Linked DNA regions of Drosophila melanogaster. The protein of the gene in region 4 interacts with the protein of the main gene of each other region in a pairwise test. Each region holds a gene or a part of one and is shown on either strand. Other genes may lie near its edges. The genes, in order: HLH4C, E5, Neto and CG4896.

The links.
Region 1: the proteins of CG4896 (region 4) and HLH4C interact in a two-hybrid assay, tested with the Drosophila melanogaster proteins (one large-scale study listed by BioGRID).
Region 2: the proteins of CG4896 (region 4) and E5 interact in a two-hybrid assay, tested with the Drosophila melanogaster proteins (one large-scale study listed by BioGRID).
Region 3: the proteins of CG4896 (region 4) and Neto interact in a two-hybrid assay, tested with the Drosophila melanogaster proteins (one large-scale study listed by BioGRID).

Annotation. Positions count from the first base shown.
Region 1 is NC_004354.4:4,644,488-4,649,440, forward strand, and holds HLH4C (helix loop helix protein 4C), read right to left. Parts: upstream 2,928-4,953; 5' UTR 2,820-2,927; intron 1,956-2,819; 5' UTR 1,881-1,955; coding exon 1,377-1,880; coding exon of another isoform or gene 1,305-1,376; 3' UTR 640-1,304; downstream 1-639. Other genes in the region: CG3062 (uncharacterized protein), read right to left, coding at 271-297; mRpL30 (mitochondrial ribosomal protein L30), read left to right, coding at 3,480-3,607, 3,688-4,102; torsin, read right to left, coding at 4,198-4,953.
Region 2 is NT_033777.3:13,871,847-13,876,863, forward strand, and holds the start of E5 (E5), read right to left. Parts: upstream 3,071-5,017; 5' UTR 2,751-3,070; intron 2,408-2,750; 5' UTR 2,334-2,407; coding exon 1,454-2,333; intron 1-1,453.
Region 3 is NC_004354.4:13,443,969-13,449,118, forward strand, and holds the start of Neto (neuropilin and tolloid-like), read left to right. Parts: upstream 1-1,934; 5' UTR 1,935-2,309; intron 2,310-5,150.
Region 4 is NT_033779.5:1,175,713-1,183,031, forward strand, and holds CG4896 (uncharacterized protein), read left to right. Parts: upstream 1-1,977; 5' UTR 1,978-2,149; exon of another isoform or gene 2,150-2,235; 5' UTR 2,236-2,237; coding exon 2,238-2,332; intron 2,333-2,395; coding exon 2,396-2,755; intron 2,756-3,128; coding exon 3,129-3,357; intron 3,358-3,414; coding exon 3,415-3,484; coding exon of another isoform or gene 3,485-3,519; exon of another isoform or gene 3,520-3,739; coding exon 3,740-3,813; exon of another isoform or gene 3,814-4,147; coding exon 4,148-4,225; intron 4,226-4,284; coding exon 4,285-4,411; exon of another isoform or gene 4,412-4,500; coding exon 4,501-4,737; intron 4,738-4,800; coding exon 4,801-5,214; intron 5,215-5,282; coding exon 5,283-6,081; intron 6,082-6,142; coding exon 6,143-6,392; intron 6,393-6,457; coding exon 6,458-6,574; 3' UTR 6,575-6,742; downstream 6,743-7,319. Other genes in the region: CG4887 (uncharacterized protein), read left to right, coding at 1-331, 389-1,169, 1,230-1,479, 1,544-1,660; CG5126 (uncharacterized protein), read right to left, coding at 6,783-7,319.

The DNA.
Region 1 (4,953 bases), on a different chromosome or scaffold from region 4:
GAAAATAGCACCCATACAGGGACAAACAGCCGATTGTCGGAATGCAGGAGTCGTTTTTCACTGGATAGAAAAGGATGGCGCCGAATCGAGTTGGTTGCCATTGCCACGTTTGTTGTTATTATTATTGCGAAAATGTTTACATCCATGGATCCACACAAATATATATATATGTATATATATATATACCCGTTACCCGTACCAACCAAATTAGGCCACTATTTATGGATATTGAAAACAGCCTCCCAATCGACTAGAATAAATTTGTCTTACCTGCTGTGCACTAAAATGAAGGGCCATTTCGAAATTTTGCACAAAAGTCGAAATTTCCGTGACGCTTTCACAGTTTCTAAAACAAAAAAATAAAAATGTATCCTCAATTTTTGAAAATTATGACAGAGGCTGCTCTACTTCGCTTTTACACAAATGGGCGGGGCTTGGCGCAAAGGACACGCCCGCTTTTGATACGTGGATACGTGGTTCTTGAAGGTTGGTGAAAAAGGGGGAACTGTTAGCATCTGGCTTTTCCGAGCAAAGCGTTCAGACAAATGGAAAACTCAGTCAGAGCAGCTGGTGTCCAAAAGTCGAGGGGAGTGTCGTGCAAAGGCGCGCCAAAATACATAAAGTAGACAATTTTTTATTGCGATTACAATGCTGTATATATTAATCGTTTGAGTATAAACAAATATCACGACTTAAAGGCTAGACAAAAAATGGATCTTAGTTTAAGGTTCTGTTTTTTTTTTCTTGGTTATTTATATTATATAAACCATGATCAAGGTTTACTCCGAGGATTAAGCACTGCTTTCCCATAAATTTAATTGTATGTACTACTGGCATATTTAGTTTTGTTATTTCCTTCGATATTTCTACTTTTCAATTAAATTACACAAACTAATAGCTTATATCTTCTACATTTAGTACGGGCATATTTTAACCTTAGGTTAAATCGTGGCTTTACAATTGTTTCTACGAAAACAAACCTAAGCCTAAAAAAAAAAACGAATCGAAACGAAACGACGGGCATTTGTCTTTCAACAGTGGCAAGGAAAAAAAAAAACAAAAAACAAAAAAATGTATGTATTTAACCATAGGTTAAATAGGTTAGCAAATCGGCAAAATCCATCGAACACTTCGGTTAAGTTGGTGAGATGGCTAATTCGATAATCGCATTATCCATAGCCGCCACCGGCAAAGTATCCAATGGAGCGATGTGCGGATTACAGAGCATGGTGAAATGCGTTTATCGGATGTGGAATATTCGCAATGTTTTCCCCCTAAATCCGCCCGCCACGCCCCCCCACCTCCTACGGGGGGGCGAAAAAATTGGCCTCGTTAAAGAGGCAGCTGGTGGCGAAACTGGAGGCGCCGGCGCTATCTCAGGGCGTCTCCAGCACATGATTCAAATAGGCAATGTAGCAGATGGCCAGCTTGAGGATCTCGATCTTGGAAAGCTTCTTGTCCGGCGGCAATGTGGGCAACAGCTTGCGCAGCTCGGCAAAGGAAACATTGAATGCCTCCACCCGTATACGCTCCCGCGTCGCATGTGCCGTTCGGTATTTGAGTGTCGCTCGCCTGCGACGACGCCGCTCCTCCCGCGATAGACCCACCAATTCCGATGGATCCAAATGGGCAATGGGCGTGGTCCGGCGACGTGGCGCCGGCGTGGGCGGCGGTGGCGGTGCCGGTTGTGCGGCCGTTTCGCACGCCATTCGCGCCTGAAAACGCTTATCGATATCCAGCGTCGTACTGGCCGCATAGTCCTCGTTGACCAGATGCGGATTATTTGGCCCAATCATCTCATCATCGTCGACCAGATAGTAGCGACTAAGCGAAATGCTTTGCGGCGGACCCGCCGCCATATGGCTCATATCGTAGACCATTCTCTGGCTATTTGCACCACTGATTTCGGTGCTGGACACTGGACTTTCTTGCGCTGCCCAGCCTGCTGCTGAATGCTGGAAATGGAAATGGAAGCAAGAGGATGCACAGCTTAGACTATGAATACAACGAAATGTGTACTTGATTGCTTCACAGATCTGCATTTCAAACTCAAGGAAGACGAAAAGTGTGGCTACCTTTGCGGTGGAGCGCTCATGCTATTGAAAAAAAAAAGGTTACAATAGGCGTTGAAGAAATCATAATCCTTGCACTCGAATTATTTATGCTTCATTTGTGGACATTTGTGATGAAGGGTGTCCGTGTGTGTGTGTGTCGTCCTTGCCGATGAAGGACACACCCCTTTTTCGCTGCATTCTGTTTGCGTTTGCTATTATTTTCATTTATTTTTATTGTACTTATTGTGCTTATTGTCGGCATTGTGCGTGTATTGTTTATTCGCAGCATATTTTCACACCTACACAAATAGCTGAACAATCGGCACGTTTATTTGCCCGCGGGAGTTGGCAAACCTCAGCGATGCCAACCCCTTAGGCTTGGCCACCCTTTTTTGTATTGTTGCGGTTAACGTATGATTTTATATCTATTGATTTAATGGGTTTTGGGTCCAAAAAGTGTCACTGGAATTGCATCAAGTCGAAGACGTGTCTATTGATCCCATGGGATGATGGAAATCCGATCTAGTTTTAAGAACTTGTCGTGTAACTCAAGTCCCCTCAAGACTATGAAACTCCAGTACACTTACACATGTCGAGTGCGTGCACATGGTCAAGTTAGCTAATTAACAAATTTCTAGATATAATTTTAAACGAACTAGAGACTTCATTCAGCTATTTGTATCTTTAATTTGATTATTCTACTCGCTAGTACATTCACTTCATTTGCATTGCTCACAATTTTTGGGCTTTGTTGCCTGAACTTACAGCAGTTATCACAGGTGCAGAGTTATTCTAGATCCTTGAGTTGTCTGGCAGATATCCTTGCTTGCCACTAGAGTCGGTTGCTCGCCGGATGGATGCTCACGTGGAACTGACTTCCGGTCGGGAAGCTGCAGCCTCCTTTATAACCAAAATCGGAAACAACCCCATTGCGTTGAAAGCCAGCCAATGCCAAGTTATCCACCCTCGTCGATTAGCGCCAATTGTAGCTGACAAAATGGCGGAGATTTTGATATGAGACCGCCCCTTTCCAGAAATGGACATCATCCCCTGGAGGCTGTGTAATCCGATGACCTAAAAACTTTCTTTTCTCAACTAATTCTTGAAATATTAAAAAAAAAAACAACGAATATATATTACCATCTTATTGATAATGTTTTCGCTATCTTCAGTTTGTAAATGATAAATTATCTTCAGTTTGTACATGATAAATTATCACTTTTAACTTTGCCGCCTTTGCATTTGAATTGTATCGCTTAACAGCAAGCGGTTAACATTGGTTTACATAACGGCAGTATCCATGCTGCCCATCGATAGGCAACTAGTTAACCAGATGTCTGTGTAATCGTTATCGTCGGGGAAACATCAATTATTTCATAAGCGTTTTGCATTTAATTTTATTACAAAGGGGGGAAAACAATTAAGATGAACCTGGGAAGGCTGCTGAATCCACTGAGGAGCACCGCATGTTCGGTGCGCAGCTACGGAAAGCACAACAAGAAGTTCCTCTACAAAAATGGCCAGAAATTTGAGGGTATCACCTACTATCCCAGGTTCGTATTCACGTGTGCAGTGTATAAAAGGAAAACACACGAAATCCAGCATTTGTTAATGCTAAATCTATCCCGCTCAGGACTCCCGATCACCAGGATCCACCCGTGGAGCCGGCGAAACTTTTCCGGGTGCAGCGCATCAAGCCGCTAAAGGGCAATCCCTACTGGGAGAATCGAATCCTCAAAGATCTGGGACTAGACGGAAAGCAGAGCGATTTTACTGTCGTCAAGAACATACCGGAGAACAATGCCCGCCTGTGGAAGATCAAGCATCTAATTAAGGTTACGCCGGTCACGTTCCCCTACGGAGAGCCCACTGCCCAGGATGTCCGGCATACGATACTCAAGGAGAACGGCGAGTGCCTGGTAACCAAGGACCTGGGACCCATCGATACCCGCCTGGCGGCTCGCCAGGATTACGACGAGCAGCCCAAGCGACTGGATACCGATCTGCTGCGCAAAGATGCCCGCCTCAAGTGGCTAAATCCCTGGTAGTTAAAATTTGTTTTCTTTATTCCGAAAAAATAGTTTTTTAAATACAAACCGAAACCCAAACTAAGCATTAAAATGTGGAGTCGGTCGGTCCTTTCTCAGTAAATGGCCATGGCCACCTTCTTCTCCAGCGTCTTGCAGCCCGAAATGGCGAACAAGCTGTGCGTGCGATCGTAACTAATGGAGGAGTTTATTATGTCCTCAATGATTTTTTGGTTGTTCGCTTGCTTAGGATCGCGCCGCCACCTTAAAAGCTCCGCCTCCAGGCACTTGATCACATGCGCCTTCTCCATCGGCAGGAACGGAATGAAATGATCGATAACATGAGACTCAATCATGGTGGTCTTTTTCATACCGCCATCCATGTTATAGGCGGCCTTCCGCAAAAGGGGCTCAAAGTCACTCAGTCGTGTGTCCTCGCGCAGCCTACCATTCTTCATCACACTACCCAGATGACTGGCTATATGACTGCCCGCCGTGTTCGAGAGAAAGATGAAGATTGCCTTTGTGTTATCCGTGCCATCGACAAAGGCGTTGTAGTCCACCAGCGAGGTGAGCTGGTCGAATACTCCGCTGGGCATTTTATCCACCTCGTCGAAGATGAACAAAGATCTCGGGCAGCTACGCAAGGTATCGCGCACCGCATTATTGATTTTCACCCTATAGTTAGACACCTCACTTTCCTTGGGAAAGTCAGCTTGTCCGAGATACTTGGTTACATAGTTCGACCTGGAGCCCTTCAAATACATAGCATCTGCAATTTGCTCAGCCACAAAATTCTTGCCCGTACCGGGCTGGCCGTGAAAGCTGATGACCAGCGGTTTCCGTGACTTATTGCCCGAAGCGATGTGCGC
Region 2 (5,017 bases), on a different chromosome or scaffold from region 4:
ATTTACAATTAATGAAATCGTTATGCGAAACATTGACATTTCACGTTCATAAATCAAGCGAAAATTACAGGCGGCGCGGAGAAAAGTGAGAAAAAAGAGAAGGAGCGGCGGGAAATGGGAAAACAAGTAGAAAGGGAGAAAATAATGAAACGGAGTACAACATAATTAAGGCGTAACGGGGATACATGTACACTTAAGCAGGTGAAAGGCGTGTGAGTGTGCCGAAAATTATTATTATATTTAACCGGCCGAAAAAAAACATGGATACCAACATGGCCTGGAAATTCAAATGGTAATCATGAGAGCAGCGGAATGGTAGAAAAAAGTGGTTAAACCGTAATAAATGACAATGTTTTTGAGATGCGCTTTGCGGTGGCTCTTCGCTTCTATCTGCCAGTTTTTTTTTTTTACCATTCCTCTCGGTTCTTTGCTTGGTTGCCCCAAAACCTCAATTAAAAACGCATTAACATTTCAATGGTTGCACTTTTCGTACGTTACACATACGCCGCATGGGCCCGCCGCATGAGTAACTGGCGCCGTCTGTTGGCCATTAATGGTAATTTCGAGTGAAGAGAAAAAGTATAAATAGAGCAAATAAATGCTAAACACACACTCACACACTTGGCTGGCCATTTAGGTACGCTGCTTGACCTAACGATGTGTGTAATGTTGTTTAAACAATTTAATTAAAATGTAATTTGTTTGGAAATAGTTATCAAAATGGGTTCGGTTCCCTCCACATTCCCCCCTTCCTGTTCGCTCCCATTCTCCGTCCCGCTCCCTCTGATGATGATGAGCCCGATACACGTCTAATTAACTTGTAATAAATGTTTGCCATTTGCTTATTTAACTTTAATTATATGGAGCTGCGCGGCAACAACAGCGATAACTGAATAATTGCTTGATTGGGGTCCTCTCTACTATAATGGTGCTGGGCTTCGAATATGACTTAAGGTGTGGTTTCTTTTTCTCTGTCGCTCGCAACACTCAGCGGCCATTTGAAACGGCTATAATGAATGCGGAAAACTCGTTATAGCGAAAAATAACCAACAAAAGGGGTGGTTGCTATCTCCAGAAGAAGAAACCGACCGTAAACTATCATAATATTCTAATGTTCAAATATGAAAAATATATATGTAACAACTATCTTTCTAATAATCCGTAAAAGAGAGATGTACTCTTATTATCAGAATAGGGTAAATATTAAATTAAATGATATGTATTATTGTTATATAAACTGTTATTAATTTTGCAGTAAATTTATTACAAATAATTGTTAGCTTAGATGATTATGCATAAAAATTATATTTTTCAATTTATAGAAATAATTTTTAGCGGTTTTATATACATATGAAAGTACCGCTTGCTAAACCGGTTAGCTTCTCTGAACTCTGAACTTATTGAAAATATTGTAATAAACAATAGATATATTTAAAACAGTGTGATTACTTACTGCCTGGGAATCGTGGAAAAATGCGTCCGTGTCGGCTGAGCAACCATGGATACAACGGATAGCTATCCCGGATCAGATGCGGCGCACTCCCGAACGGATGGTGTCCGTGGGGCGGAGGATGCCCGGGATGCGGTCCGCCGGGAAAGATTCCAAGTGGAATTTGGCCGGGCGGCAGATGCGGATGTGGACCATGTGGCGGTCCAGTTGGCACGGGCGGAAGTTGCTGTTGTTGCTGCTGCTGTTGCTGCTGGTGATGATGAGCCAGTGCAGCAGCCATTTGGAACTGGGCGGCAAGGAACGGCGGTGGCTGCGACGGCGGGTGGGGCGGACCCGCCATGCGCACCGCCATGGCGTTCGGTGAGGTGCGGTTCCCAATTAAAGCTAGATTTGGCGCCGGCAGAGGCAACGGACGGATGAGGGTTGGAGGATTTCCCGTTCCCGACGATGGATCCCCGGACTTTGCAGTATTCCCGGCCGCTGCCGGATTGCCTCCTGCATTGGGGGGCGATGGCGACCGGCTAACCGGTGATCTCTGAGGACTGCGCGATCGATCCAGCGAATCCCTTCTGCGGCAGTAGATATAGCCCCTGGGCGTCCGGCGCCCACTGTTGTTCGTGTTCGTTGGCGAAGCGGGACTTTCGCTGCGCGGCGGCGGCGAAGATATCACACTGACCCTTAGTGGAGCCGATCTCGTCGAGGATTCGCCCACAATCGAGTCGATGCTGAAGGCCAGCTTGGGCTTGCTGCTCGCGGAGGCGGAAACGGTACTGCTGGCGGAAACGGAAGTCGAGGATGCGGCCACCGAGGAGCTGCTGCTCACAAAAGGACTCGTCGGCGCCATGGGCAGCATGTTGAACGTTTGCCGGCCGCAGGTGACCATTTGGTAGGGGTTTCGTTGATTGGAAAAACAAATGAATCACTTTCCCTCCTCTTAAACTTCCCGATTCGAAGTCTCTGCAAGTCGAAGTAGATTATAAGAACACTTGTAGGCCTTAAATTCCATTTTTTCCATTCCATATTTGACTTTTTTGAAAAAAAAAATTTTGTATTTTCGAACGGGATAAATCAGTAAATAAAAGAATAATGCTCAACTAAAAGTTTTAGGAATAAAATAAAACGGTAAAAATCCTACTAAAATCAAAGGGAATGGAAATTGAAATGGAATTGAACTGAATAGAAACGGAAACGGAAAAAGGGTTGTACTGATCGAAGCTCCCAATAAATGGGTTGGTGCTATGGAAACATGATCGCGTACATCGGTTAATGGTTACTAGATATCAGATAAGCACACACGCACTGTTTTTCCGATCAGATAGCTATAGCTATATAGCTACGTAGCGTTGTATCTGCGATGCTCCAGCGGTTGGCATCCGTCGGCGTGACATTGATAAACTGTAACTGTAACTGGAGCGGCGGCAACGCGGCGATTGGAGCGTGACCGTACCGCTTCGCTGGACGATTGACGGCGGCGATTGATGGTTGGCGATTGACTATTGGCGATTGACGGTGGCGGTGGCGGTATCAGTTAACGGTTAACGGTTATGCCGGCTACCCGGTAACGAAACGATTGCGGTGGCCGCGCTGCGATGATGATGAGCACTGTCAACGCCATTAGCATTATGGAGCGTCTAAAGGCGTCTAATTGTTGGCTCCACTTCGCCGCTCGCAACCTCTGTCTCTCTCTCGCTTTCTCTCTTTCTGTCCTGATTTTTGGCGGGGGCGTCGGCGAATCGCTGCGTGGCTCTCACGCTGAGCGTTTTAGCTCGAGTGTCGCGTTGGAAAAAGCCGCAAAAAGTTTGTGGGGCCAGTTCGAGTGTGCTTCTTCTTCCTTTGCTTGTACTTCCAGCGCAGCAATACTGCTGGCGTCTCGCTCGCACACGTGGCTCGGTGCGCGTGCGCCAAAGCAGCGCAACAATAGTTCAGTGGATATTCCGAAAACCTGCTTGGCTCCAAGTGGAGCCACCTCCTCTCTCGCTCGCTCTCCCGCTCTCTGGGCTTGTTGGTGTGTGGGTGTGTGAGGGGCCCCAATCTCTCTCTTTTTCTCTCTCTCTCTGTCGCTCTCTTGGCCATTTTTCGCACCAGTTTATGACAGCGAAACAAACAATTTGCGCTAAACAAAACAGCATCATTAAAGCGTTTGTGGTTTTAGTGCCAAGCGGGTTGGCCAGTTTGTTGGAGCGTAGGAGGGGGAACGGGGGTGGTGCACCCGAACAGTGGATAGGAAGTAGGTCTTCGATGATTAAAAATAAATATAATAAATATAACATTTAAAATTGAAAAGCGAACTGTGCCCTCTTTTAATTATGCAAATACTAACAATAAAAAAAAATTGAAACTTTATTTAATTGAATTGTATTTATTCATTGAAATATTTAAGGCTTAAACGTTTATCTTTCATCAGTAACCGTTTTTAAATTGTTTTCATGTATTAAATTATTTACTATCTACTGGAAAATCGATATTAAAAAGTGTTCAAATTTGTACATAACTCAAAAGTAGAAAATACGCATTTTTCAAAGGATATCGAGCCGATACCACTGTGCAGTGGAATCAACGTCATCGCTTATATAGCTTAGACGCCCCGTCGTCAGTGCTGGCTATAAACCACTTTCCCTCCCCCCGCCGCTTGGCCATTCTACCATTCTGAATTGGCATCTGCATCATGTTGGCCAAAAGCATTTGGACACGAAAATGGGCGGTAACTTGGTTTCTACACCTTCGGCGAGCTGCAACTGCGCGAATCTCACAGATACAGATACAGCGTGCTGGGAAGGGAACGTATCTGCATCTGTATCTGTGCGTGGTCATCCGAGTATCTGTATACCCATCCCCATCCCCATTCCCATCCCCATCCCTATCCGCATCCTCATCCGCTGGCTGTGAGTTGTGAAAATAAACACCTCGTTAAAGATGCAGGAGGAGGCATAAAACATGCAGCGCCAACTTCGCAGCCTTCTCATAGGTAAATACATGCGATTCTCCTCCTTTTGGCCATGAATGGATATGGATGTTGGCCAGAAAGGAGGCGAGAGTTGGCAAATAAATTGACGTGCGCTTGGCTGGATTTGTATGCATCTAGATAAGGCCGTTGCTTGTCGGTGGGGCAGCAGCTTTGCTGCCGCAGATGCACTCATGTATACACGTATACATATATCTATATCTGTGAGTGTGGCACCTCTGGGTGCGGTAATTGTAATTGGTTTTTACTCTTTCCCATCTCCTTTCCAGCTCCTCTGCCTCACGATTCGGGATAAATCATTTAATTAGTCAGACAATGAGCTGGGACGAGAACTTTATGGGATGCTCCATCACCGCAAAAGGTTATCGATCGGCAATCAATGATTTTGTGGGCGTATTTTTTGGCATTTACCGCACTTGATATATGACCAGAAGGAGGGCCCACAAAAAGATAAAATGCAGCAAATGCCTGCATTATCAGTTCGCGAAACGCGATGCAAGTTCTAGGGCCTTTTTCTCGGTAGATGTAAAATTATATATTTGAGATACATTTGTTTAATTCTTGTGTAACTCAGGTTTTAGTTCGAACAAATACGATAAGCATAT
Region 3 (5,150 bases), on a different chromosome or scaffold from region 4:
GTTTGCATTCGAAACATCAGTTTATTTTATATTATTTTGCAAACGTGCTAAGCTTGGGAGAGGTAATGAAAATAATGACAACTTCTCTTTTGGTTTGCCTTTCGTTTAAAACTTAATCAGGTTATCAAGTAAGCGTAACTACAACCTACAATTGGAAATTTTATATGTTTTTGCAATAATAAACATCAGATTGTTGGTTATACTTTAAGGTTTCCATCAGCTTAATAATCAATTTAATTTAAGCAGCTCGAGCAATGACATAGATTTTAAAATTGGTTAATTTGAGAGAGTATTAGATGATAGGCTTCTACTTTTATTTGAGGTGTTTAACGCGTTCTGTCATAGCAACGCTTCGAAAGCTAATATAAAGGCAATTAAGAGTGTCTGGAGAAACTTCACGTAATCTGCGGGATCTCAAGTTATTAAAAATATGTTGTAATGAAGGGAATGTAGTTTTTAAGAGACCACAGAAGTCGTTTTTTTTTTTTATTTCGCACACATTTCGTACAATGTATGCAAACGAATCGCAAAGGAAATATCAAATCGCTTGAGGCTTTAAGAAAACCACATTCACAACAGTTTCCACAGTCTGTGATCCAGGCATGTCATTTGACATTTCACCAAAAAAAAAAAAACGAAAAAAAAGAAGAGAATAACAACAAAAACACAAAGAAAGCAAAATATAACCAAAGCAAATAAAATAAAATATTTTGCGAAGAAGCCGAACAAAAAATGAAGACAGACTTTGTTGTCCTTGTCAGCGTGGCTACAACTTCCTTGGCCCAGGACGACGTCGGAAGTGCCAGCGGAAATGAGTAAAAAACCTACAACTCACTCAAAATTCCCGCTCACTCCCATCTCACTCGCACTCGAACAATGGGAAATTCCGTTTCGAGTGAAATTTTGTGCCACAAACGAACGCACTTCGGCTGCTTTCGGCCATCGCCTCGTATTCCCACTCACTCGACATTGAGCGTTTGTGGAGCATCCTCAGAGATGCCAAATATTTTGGGGGGGAAAAAAAGCTGAAAATAATTATTTTCCAATTTCTTAAGGTTCGCATGAAACCCGTATACTTGCATCATTGTTTAACGTTTTGGTGAAATGTTGTGATAAAATGAGTTTAAGTTTTAAAATAAATCGCACTATTTTTTGGCTCTTTACCATATCAAAATGTATATACTAAAATGAGCTTGAAAGTGGGCGGCGAAAATATGTTGATGTTAAGAAATGCATCTGGATATCGAGCAGACGTTTCCCATAATTTATTTTTATTAAGTTTTTATTTCTTAATCTCTATAGAAAAGCAAGATATTATAGATCACTGTCAGTTTTCATATTCACATCCGTAAATCTAATAGGAAACAATTTTTGTTTAAAAGAAATAATTAAAAGCTAAGATCCGTCATAAATAGTACTGTCAATTTGAGAGGCTAGAAAAATAAGATAATACATATCAGCTTATAATTTTTAAATTTCTTTTCGGGAAATTAATTTTTAAGCGTGGGAAATGGACAAAAATTGCTAGATTCTCGCAAGTATTTTATTTTATGGTGTGATATTCTTCTAAAATTAGATATTTTTATTAATACGTATTTTTTTTTTTAACAAGTGGAATCCAATTAGTTTGTTTTATTATGTTAATGATTGTTAGTATTAAAAAAAAAACTTCTATAGATATTGGGCAAACAACTCAATCAATTTTAGGTAGTAACATAATAAAGTAATAAATACGAATACAATTCTTTTTGGTTGATAGAAAAGAATAAGACAGTGAGCGGCTGGAAAAACTAGCCAGAGTTGTCGGGAAAGCCGGCTAAGTAAGCAGCACTGGCGGGTCGACAACAGCAGTGGCAGCATCCGCCGTGGCAGCGGCAACAGTCGAGCGGCAGACTCGATGCAGCAGAGCCACAAATTCCGGCATTACGTATACGCCCAGTCTACGTCGAGTTGGCCACGTGTACGGACACGCGGCGCGGTTCGCTTTCTCCGGTGACAGCACATTCGATATTAACGTTTCACTACCAAAAAAAAAAAAACATCGCGATTGGTTGCTAATAGACAAGCACCAGAGATACGATTTTAAAATCTTAAGGTTTTGCTTTTGTTCAAAAGAAATACAAATTTTTTTGTTTGGTTGTTTGTGTGACAGTGACAGTGCCAGTGTGAAAGTGTGTGTGTGTGAAAAGCTTGCCGGCTTGAAAAATGCGCGCCAAAAATTGAGATATTTTCGCGGAGCGCAGCGGCAACAAAAACAAATAAAAACAACATTTCGCAACGCAGCCAAAGGAGGCGACAACACGCAAATAGTAATATATACATATATATATAAATTAAACATATGCACATATACATATATATATTAGATGGCAGCTTTGCAATGTAAACAAATTATATTTCCGTGTTTTCTTAAAATAACAAATCTATTTGCCGATATTTACCAATTAATTAGTGGGCTAGTGACAATATTAAGTTGCAAAGGATAACAATTATAAAATAAATACGTATACTGCTGCATTCCGCATAATAGGCAATAAATATGTTTGCGAATATATTAATCAAATCAAGGCATTATGGCTGTGGTAGCTGAATGAAATTTGCATAAATCAAGCTTCAATGATCCAGAGGGCACATTAGTCTCTTTTAGCCTGTAGTTGTAAAAGTTGTTCGGTTTTAGCCAACAAAATGGAAATGAAAAGGCAAAAAGTGGATGTGTCATAAAAATTCCTTTTGCACAGAAGGCGTCCATTATGCGGATTCTAAAGCAATATTAAAATAATCTCTAGTAATTTCCTAGTAAGTGCCCACTTAAATGAGTTTTTCTTTTTTATTAGTGCGCTTTAAGTCTTTGATTTTATTTTAATGCGTCTTGGGATATATTTATACATATTATTAATTGTTAATTTGTTCAGCAGTTTTAGATCGAATATACTTGCGATTAAACATTTCTAAACATTTTGAAAAGTGTTCGATTTTTTGTTGTTTTTATTATTTATCTCATATAAGCTACAATATATGTTGAAAGATTTCGAATGAATGTTTAATTTAAACTATTTTGTCGCATTCGTTTGGAAACTTCGACCGTATTTTCTATGTATCCCGTATAGATAAGTTTGGGGCCACTTAGCGAATTGGCGGACATATTTTTAGACATAGCCCAAATAGTAAAAAAACAAGAGCAGAACGAGTAAGCGAAGAGGGGAAAATTGTATAAAAACCAAAGACACGAACGCAGAGGCTATAGAGAATTGGTGAAAAATGAGAGAAATTCATTAATAAAAGACAGCAACAAAAACAAGAGCAAAAATTAAACGGCTGCCATCAGGCTTTCCCACTTCTCTCACCAATTTTCCCTTTCGTTTTCCCGCTTTTCCTTGTCCACGGCACAGCTGTGATCACACGAAGAGAAAGAAAAAACAGAAGAAAATTCGGAAAAAAATGAAAATAAAAATTATTACATATGCGTAATGGGTATTTTGTGTTGTTGCTGCTGTTATTGAAGAAGATTTTCCAAGCTACAACTACAACAATTCCGTTAGCGCCAACTTTGACGAAGGTTTTCCATCGGCTTTTCTTTAAATACCCTCGCGAATACGCAGTGTATGGATTAGGGATTGATGAACTATGCTATTAGGTTAAATAAAAATATACTCCGCAAAACAATAATAATCATTTGGGCTTGCAAAACTGAATGCAATCTTTATTTATTGCATTAGTAGATTGAATAAATTAATTGTTTACGGGGTATTGTGTTGGTTGTTAATTGTCCATTAACTTAATTTCCCAGTGTTTTCTCTGTTTTGTTGCCGTCTCAATGAATTCACTAGACTTCCAATCGTCCCATCTCTTTCGCATGCTGTGCAGCCATCTCTCTCTATCGGTGGCTGACAAAGTTTTGCATTATGTTCATCTCGTCTGTCGCTCTTCTATATCCCATTCCCACATATGTGGCTCAAGGCTATCTTATACACGCACTTTCAGCGCCCTCGTCGATTTCTTAGTTTTTCTTCTCATTTTCCATTCATTTTTGCTGCTCCCATTTCGGTTTTCTTAAATTTTTTCAGCATGTTGCCCTCATAAATTTGGGCGAGGCAAACAAAATTTTTGTGGTAAACTTTTATTCACGAGGGTTTTTTTTATTTTTGAAGGGAAACTTCGATGGTAATTAATGGCATGTTGACCAGCTGGTCAAATAGGGAAAAGGATTATTCCTGCCTTTTAAGGACTAAAGTAAAGGATGAGTTCTTACTCCAAAAGAAAGCTTAAATCATATTATTTTCTTCTTCTGTGTATTCTTATTTTGTTCAAGAAGAATGTATCCAGCATTCAACAATTACAAATCAATGTTTAATAGCAATATTTATTTGTACTCCGTATTTTCTGAGTGTGATTATATTGTTGTTCAGATTTTCTCCATTGATTTTAATTCAACCATTTCGTTTTTGTGATCCTTTTAATTTTCTTAGCCATGTTGTAATTTCCCTTCTAGTTTTTCCACATTGGACTCCATTTAGTTTTATCTCTCTGCAGCTGTGCTGAGATTAAATTTTGTTCAATTTTTGTAACCATTTATTTCAATAAAATTAAGCCAAAAGTTTTTACAGTTAAGCCCAAACTTCCTTTGGCGATTTCGGTTAGCTTAACTGCTTTCCGCCTCCTTTGACCACCCATTTCCTTTGTGTCCCGAGCAACAGGTCCTCTCTCATTTGCTGGGATTTCTTCTTATTTATTATTTGTGTCTGTCCACAGTGTTTTCATTTCTTTCCCCGTATTATTTTTGGCCGCAAAAAAGTCTGATCTTAAAGCCTTTTTGCATTGTGCGGCGATTTTCGCAGCAATTTCCCGTGGAATGTGAAACTAATTGCAGCTGGACTTGGGTGGTTGGAAAACGCAATGGCATACAACTAATCAGAACGGAAAAAGAGCAGAAAAGCCTGGAAATGGGCATGCGAATGGGAATGGGAATGGGCCATTTTTTTTCGGGCTGCTGGAAAAGCCAAAAGAAAAACGATTTCAATAAATGTCATAAATTTGCCCGACAACTTTACAAAAGGGGCGGAGGAAGTGGAAAAGCAAAGGAAATGGCTTTTCCACAAACCAACCCGCCGCCTCTCCCCCTGATTATCGTCTGCTTTGCTGTCGGCTTGTAA
Region 4 (7,319 bases):
TATACTCTGGCCGATGTGCCACGACTCGCTGAATATAGTGCCTCCCTGTACGCTTCGAATCCCGCAGAGCACGCTTATTATGTCCAGTACTATACGGAGTACTACACGGCAGATATAAACAAAAATAACAGGGATTCCCATTTGACGGAAGCCAATTCCGGAGCAGCGGTTGCCCTCTCGGCCATCCAGCGCAAGCAGAAGAAGATGAGCAGTATCGAGACCACGATCACAGCGGCGGCCACAGCTGCCGCACAGGCAGCGGCGCAAGTGAAGGCCACATTGGCTGCTCAGGTGGCCAGTGCGCCCAAGGGCAACGATGGAAAGATATACCGTATGTCGCCACTCACTTGAGTATGCTAGCATTTTATTATGTTTCATTATGTTGCAGCCACTCCCGATGTGACGCAGTACCAGTATGATGAGACATCCGGCTACTATTACGACAGTACCACGGGTCTCTACTACAATGCCCACTCGCAGTACTACTATAACAACGAGACGGGCGCGTATCTTTACTGGGATCAGCGCAGGAGCACCTATGTGCTGGCCACGCCCGCCTCCACTCAGGCAGCTCTGCAGGAAGTCCTGGCCGACGCCGAGCAAAAGGGGGAGGAGGAGTCCAAAAAGGCGAAGGAGAAGGAGGGTGGAAACAAGCACGACAAGGTTAAGGTGGCGAAGAAGATCGTCAAGGACATGGAGAAGTGGGCCAAGCAGCTAAACCAGAAAAAGGACTACACAGCTGTGGCCACGCCACAACCAATATTGGCGAACGAGGTAGCCACCACTTCGCGTGGCAATCAAGGGGGATATGCTGATGTGGGATTCTCCATTCTCGAGAAGAAGGAGAGGGGCAAGTTAAACGACTATGCGCCAAACCCGACTGTGGGTCCAATGAACAAGCTTGTCAATGCCTATGGCGGAACATCGGACTCTGAAGAGGACAATGCTGCGAGTTCGCAAAACACACAGAGTTCAGCGGTTGTAAGCGGCGGAGGAGGTGCTGAAGAGTCCGATTACGTGGACTTCCATAAACTGACATGCCTGCTCTGCAAGCGTGCCTTCCAATCGTTGGAAATACTCCAGAAGCACTTGAAGATGTCCACTCTGCACAAGGAGAACCTGGCCAAGCTCAATCAAAACACTAGCAGTAGCATCGAAGAGGCACTAGCGTAAGTGAAATCGCGATGTGTGGTGGAGTATATTATCATTGAATTCATATTCTTTCCCAGCTATCGTGATCGTGCCAAGGAGCGCAGGCTGAAGTACGGCGAGAGCGATCCTCCCCCACCAAATAGGAGCAGGGAGCGATTCGAGCAGGAGATCAAGACACTGCAGTCGCGGCAAAAGCAGTCTACTAGCGCTACTCCAGCCATGCCCATCAGTTCGAGCAACGTGGGCAGTCGACTGCTCCAAAAGATGGGTTGGTCGGAGGGACAGGGACTGGGCAGGAAGAACCAGGGACGCACCCAGATCATAGAGGTAACTGAGCTGACGGCAAGCTATAAAATGAATTAAGAAAATTAAGCATTTTGGGTTCCCTCAGGCGGACGGACGCTCCAATTACGTGGGCTTGGGCAACAAATCGGGACAGATGATACCGGGCAACGACTACAAATCCTATATAAAGAAGATGATGAAGCAGCGCTACGAGAATGCTTGAGAAATTGGTTTTTAGCCGTTTCACATGTTTCATTTCAACTAAAGTCGCCGTTTAATTCAGCTTTTCAACCGAAGCAAAAATTATTTCCATATTATATATGAAGCTTCTTGAGCATTGTTTTCCTAACAGATTGGCGTTTTTTTAAGTCCACGAGCAAGTGTGACCGTTTAGTTAATAGTTTCTGATTAAGCGAATTTAAATCCTTTTTCGAATGTACAAAATAAAATGTAACGGTGTAAAGTTTAAATTTGCTTGGTGTTGGGAAACAACTGTTAGCTGGCACTTGGTAGCCCTGGAGCTATCGGTCAGTTATCGATAACTGGCAGTCAGATACTTCGGGTGAACGGCAAAAAAGAAGACCGAGAATTTTTCTATTCGGGTTTTTTTTTTTGGCCGGATAACTGATTGTTTCTGCCTGAATGCAAAGAGACTTCCAGTTCGGGAACAAGTTTAACCAGCTTCCAATCCTGTTACAGTCGTGGTAACCAAGTAAGATGTGCGCACATAGACGGTTCATCTAATGGCAAAAGGCCAAATCACAAACACTGCATTTAATTACAATCGATTCGCATTAGATATGGATTCTCGATATGGTCACAGCTTCTCGGGCGGCAACGGAAACGGCAGCGAATCGGGCTACAGACGCTACAGTCGCTCCCGATCCCGATCCAGGTAGGTAGTCCTTTGTCCACCTGGAGCCTCTTAGTGGATTACTACCAATTGCGATTATTTCAGGGAACGAAGTCGGGACCGCAATGAGTACAGACGTCGCAACTCCCGTTCGCGCAGTCGGGAGCGGTCCTCACACTATAGAAACGACCGCAGTCCGGATCGCGATCTGTACCGCGACCTGATCAACGAGGATTACGAGGATCAGGGAAACTACAACTCGAGACAGAACCTTGACCAGCGCCACGGCGAGGACAAATACGATCGTCGGCATGCTGATAGCCAGGGTCGCAGGGATCACGATAGCAACTACGACAAGAGTGGCCAGGATATGGATAAGGACCGCGATCACCGCTGGAAAAACTACGATCGCGTTTCGAGAGAGCGCAACCATGATGACTTCGATCGGGGATCGGAGCGCAGCAGGTAAGAAATGATACATATTGCATATTACCCATATCGTGCTCAGTGTTATCACTGAGATTAAGATTAAGCTAAGTTCTATGTTTCCATTCACAAGGCTTCCATAAGAAGGAGGACTCCTCTTTCACTAGTTTAAAAGACCTTTCATTTGCTAATCACTTGTAATAAAAGTCAAAATAATTAGAAATCAACCCATTCAGTAATGTACACTTCCCTTTGTTCGCATAAATGCATACAAATCATCTTATGAAATATTCATGCTGGATGCCTTTAATTACAGTGGATAGTATGCAAACGATGGTTTCAAACGAACCGAACGAAAATTTATTCGACAAAGTGCTCATTGTATGACCTTAAAGAATCGCTTTCCTTTCAGCCGCAGCAATGACCAGCGGCAGTTCAATAATAATGGAAATAGTAACTCCAGCAGCAGTTACAGAGATCGCGAGAAGGAGCGCGATCGAGATAGACGGTGTTCCTCGGACGAGGACAGCGACATGGCCAGCGAATTCAGGCAGAGAGGTGCCTACAACAGTGGCAGCAGCGTTGAGCCCTTGAACAACATAATCCTCTTCGGTCTGAAGAAGCACGTCACGGAAGCAGACGTAATGTTTAAGCGATAAGCAGAACGAATGTAAAATTAACCAAGTAATCCTCCACAGATCATGGGCGAGCTGATCAAGGTCGACCTGGAGCCCACATCCATTCGCGTGATGAGGAAGCAACAAACAGGTGGGTTACATTTCCGTGTGTTACATTCGATTTAAAGTGAAATTGTAGAGAAAGCGTGAGTATTGCGTGCCCAGCAACATGTTCGATGTAGGACTTATAGCAATTTCAATTATACTTGGCTTCGACATCAGCAAAAACATATAGAAAACTACAAACCGAAACAAAAACACAATCCCCAAAAATGACACAATGCTAATGATACAACCAACATTTTTTGACCAAACATTTTCGTATCTACTTCTATCTAAAATTTAGGTGCCTCACGCTGTTTTGCATTTGTCGAGTTTAAAACCGTTGAGGAGGCGACTCGTTGGATGGAGTTAACCCAGGTATCCCTAAAAACCACAAGAATCTTGAATCTTCTCGTATCCGCCAAAATAGAAATGACGGCAAGATCCGATAGCTTGGCATCAACTGTTGAAAAATGTGTGCCTTGAGTTCAATTCTGCTGGTGGGCTGCCTGTCCCTTCCATTTTTCTGTCTTAGATCAGGGAACTGAACTCAAAGGCGGAATCGAATCTTACGTAAAGGAAGCAACCAGCATCTGCGTGATGTCGAAAAACACAGATGCAATCTTGGTGACTGTGTAGTCTGTGAACGATTTGCCTGATCAGCAGTTTCAGTTACTAATTCCAATTTTACCTCTTCTATTTTTCCGTTCAGGGAGTCCTCCAACTGGGCGATCATCGTGTCACCATGCAGTATAGTCACACTCGCATCTCAGACTGGACTTGCATTAAGGTATGCTCCGTTAAGATACAGATTGGCAACAATAATTAGCTTTTTTCGCCATCCTTCAGTGTGGTGCCAGCAACTTTAAGCGCCGCTTCCAATGCTACATGTGCAATGCGTCGCGGGCGGAGAGCGAGAATGCTCTTTACGGAGCCGGCGAGGGCGTCGACGAGATCAGCCAAATCCTCACAAAAAGTATATCCACCATGAGCAATATCTTTCAATGCCGTTTCCTAGCTAATCAGCTAAATACCCCACTAACCTGCCACGCTTTCCCCATGCAGAGATCATGCTTCGCGGCTTGGACGCGCTGACAAACGAGGAGGGCGTGCTAACTGCCCTTCAGCAGCGCCTGCCCGAACTGGCCAAAACAGTCAGCAAGGTGCTGGTCAGTCGCGACGCCCTAACCAATGCATCTCGGGGCATTTGCTACCTCAATTTTGACACACTCATTGATTCTATGAACGTGTTCAACGGGCTGACGGCGTTGGATCCGCCACTCACTCTGGACGACAAAACAGGTAAATTATTACTTCTTAATTATTTCATAATTAAAAAACAAAACTTTAATCCATGCCCTTCAGTTATCGTCACCTACTGCATTGACTCCGAAAACCGTCAAATGATGCCAGCCGAAGGCAACTTTTTTAGAGCAGGTGAAACAGCGATGTCTCCGTCGGCCATTACGGCGGCCTACACTTTGGCGGATGTGCCTCGTCTTGCGGAGTACAGTGCATCCGTGTATGCCTCGAATCCGTTGGAGCATGCTAACTACGTCCAGTACTATACGGATTATTACACGACTGAAATAAGCAAGAACTGCAGAGATCGTCAAGTGACGGAGGCCAACTCCGGCGCTGCCGTTGCTCTCTCGGCCATCCAGCGCAAGCAACGGAAGGTCAGCCAGATGGAGACCACGGTTTCGGTGACAGAGGCGAAGGTCGCCTTCCTTGCCAGGGGTGAAAGTGCTCCCAAGGGGAATGATGGCAAGAAATACGGTAAGTGAGCGCACACTATTCTATCTATGCGCTCCTGTAATGTCGAATATTTCATGCTCAATGGTTAGATACTCCCGATGTGTCCAAGTACCAGTACGACGAGACCTCCGGCTACTACTACGACCACGTTACAGGACTCTACTATGATGCCCACTCGCAGTACTACTACAACAACGAGACGGGCGCGTATTTGTACTGGGATCAGAAGCGGAGCACCTATGTGCTGGCCACACCCGCTTCCACTCAGGCAGCCCTCAAGGAAGTATTAGCCGATGCCGAGAAAAAGGAGGAGGAGGCCAAAAAGGCAAAGGAGAAGGAAAAAGAAAAGGAGGAAGCTGGGGGGAAGCCCGACAAGGTGAAGGTGGCCAAGAAGATCGTCAAGGACATGGAGAAGTGGGCCAAGCAGCTAAACCAAAAAAAGGACTACACAGCAGTGGCAACGCCGCAGCCTATCCTGTCGGATACTGAGGCGGCCACCACCTCCCGTGCTTCCCAAGGGGCATATGCTGATGTGGGATTCTCAATCCTTGAGAAGAAGGAGCTTGGCAAGCTCAACGACTATGTACCGGAGGCAGGACCTCCAGCGATAAGCAAATTGGTTGGTGCTTATGGAGGACCTTCTGACTCGGAAGATGATAATAGTGCCAATCAGAAAGCACTTGAAGCTAGCGTTGGGACTAAACGAGCCATTAGCGATGAATCTGACTACGTGGACTTCCAAAAACTTACTTGCCTGCTCTGCATGCGTGCCTTCCAATCGCTGGACATCTTGCAGAAGCATTTGAAAATGTCGAATCTACACAAGGAGAATCTGGACAAGCTTAAACGGAATCCCGCAGTTGAGGCTGGCACGGATGAGGGTCTATCGTAAGTGGGAATATGCTGCTAGAATGGAGATAAACTCACTAATTTACTTACCCGTACTTAGCTATCGTGATCGTGCCAAGGAACGCAGGCTGAAGTACGGTGAGAGCGATCCTCCTCCACCAAATAGGAGCCGGGAGCGTTTCGAGCAAGAGATAAAGACTTTGCAGTCGCGCCAGAAGGATTCTTTTGGCGCCACTGCAGCCATGCCCATCAGTTCGACCAACGTGGGCAGCCGCCTGATGCAGAAGATGGGCTGGTCGGAGGGCCAGGGACTGGGCAAAAAGAACCAGGGACGCACCGAGATCATAGAGGTAGGAGTCGACGAGGGCGACGAATGGCAAAATATGGATAATTCAATGTCAATGTGTATCCACAGGCTGATGGTCGTTCTAACAACGTGGGGCTGGGCAACAACACTGGCCATATGGCGCCTGGGAACGACTACAAATCCTACATCAAAAAGATGATGAAGCAGCGTTATGAGAACGCCTGAGACTCTTCTTAAAGTGTATGATTTTATTCCGCTTGAATATAGGGGCATTTAAGCATTGTTGTTTACCTCGATTACACTTCCTCCACCTTGTCGCGTTCATTTAGCATTAGTTGCGAAGTTCAAATTGTAAATAGTTCGTAAATACAGTCTCAAATTAGGTTTAAATTTAAATTGTAAATGCTTTAAGTATGGAATTGTGCAAGGGAATCTAAATCTCGTCCATGTAGCCATGCTCATAGGCGTGACGAACGGTCTTGAAGATCTCCTGGTTCGCCTCATCGCCAGCGATGTCCAAGGACAACTGGTGGAAGGCGGGGCCGTGCATATCCGTCTCGAAGAGGCGGGACAACTCGGCGCAATCCTTCTCGGTGCCGAGCAGCCAGGGAAGGAAGTGCATGCATACCATTGGTCCGTAGAAGGCATATCGTTTGAAGTGGGCATTGAAGCGTTCGAAGCTGTATTCCTGTAGCAACTGGTCCACCCGATCGTCGGTCAACTCGTTCCGGTTTCGGCGCAGAACCAGTTCCAACATTTCGATCATGCTTCGATGGTACTTGCGCAACAAGTCGGCGTAGATCTCCTTCCTTCCTTCGGATGGCGTGTTCATGTACATAAAGAAGCTCAGGTCAATGGCCGTAGTGCTGAAGCGCAGCTCCTGGAAATCGATGGCTTTGATAGCGTCCACCTTATCTTCAGCGCCGTAGTGGAACAGCACGTTGTTCCTGTTGTAGTCGCCGTGCAGAAA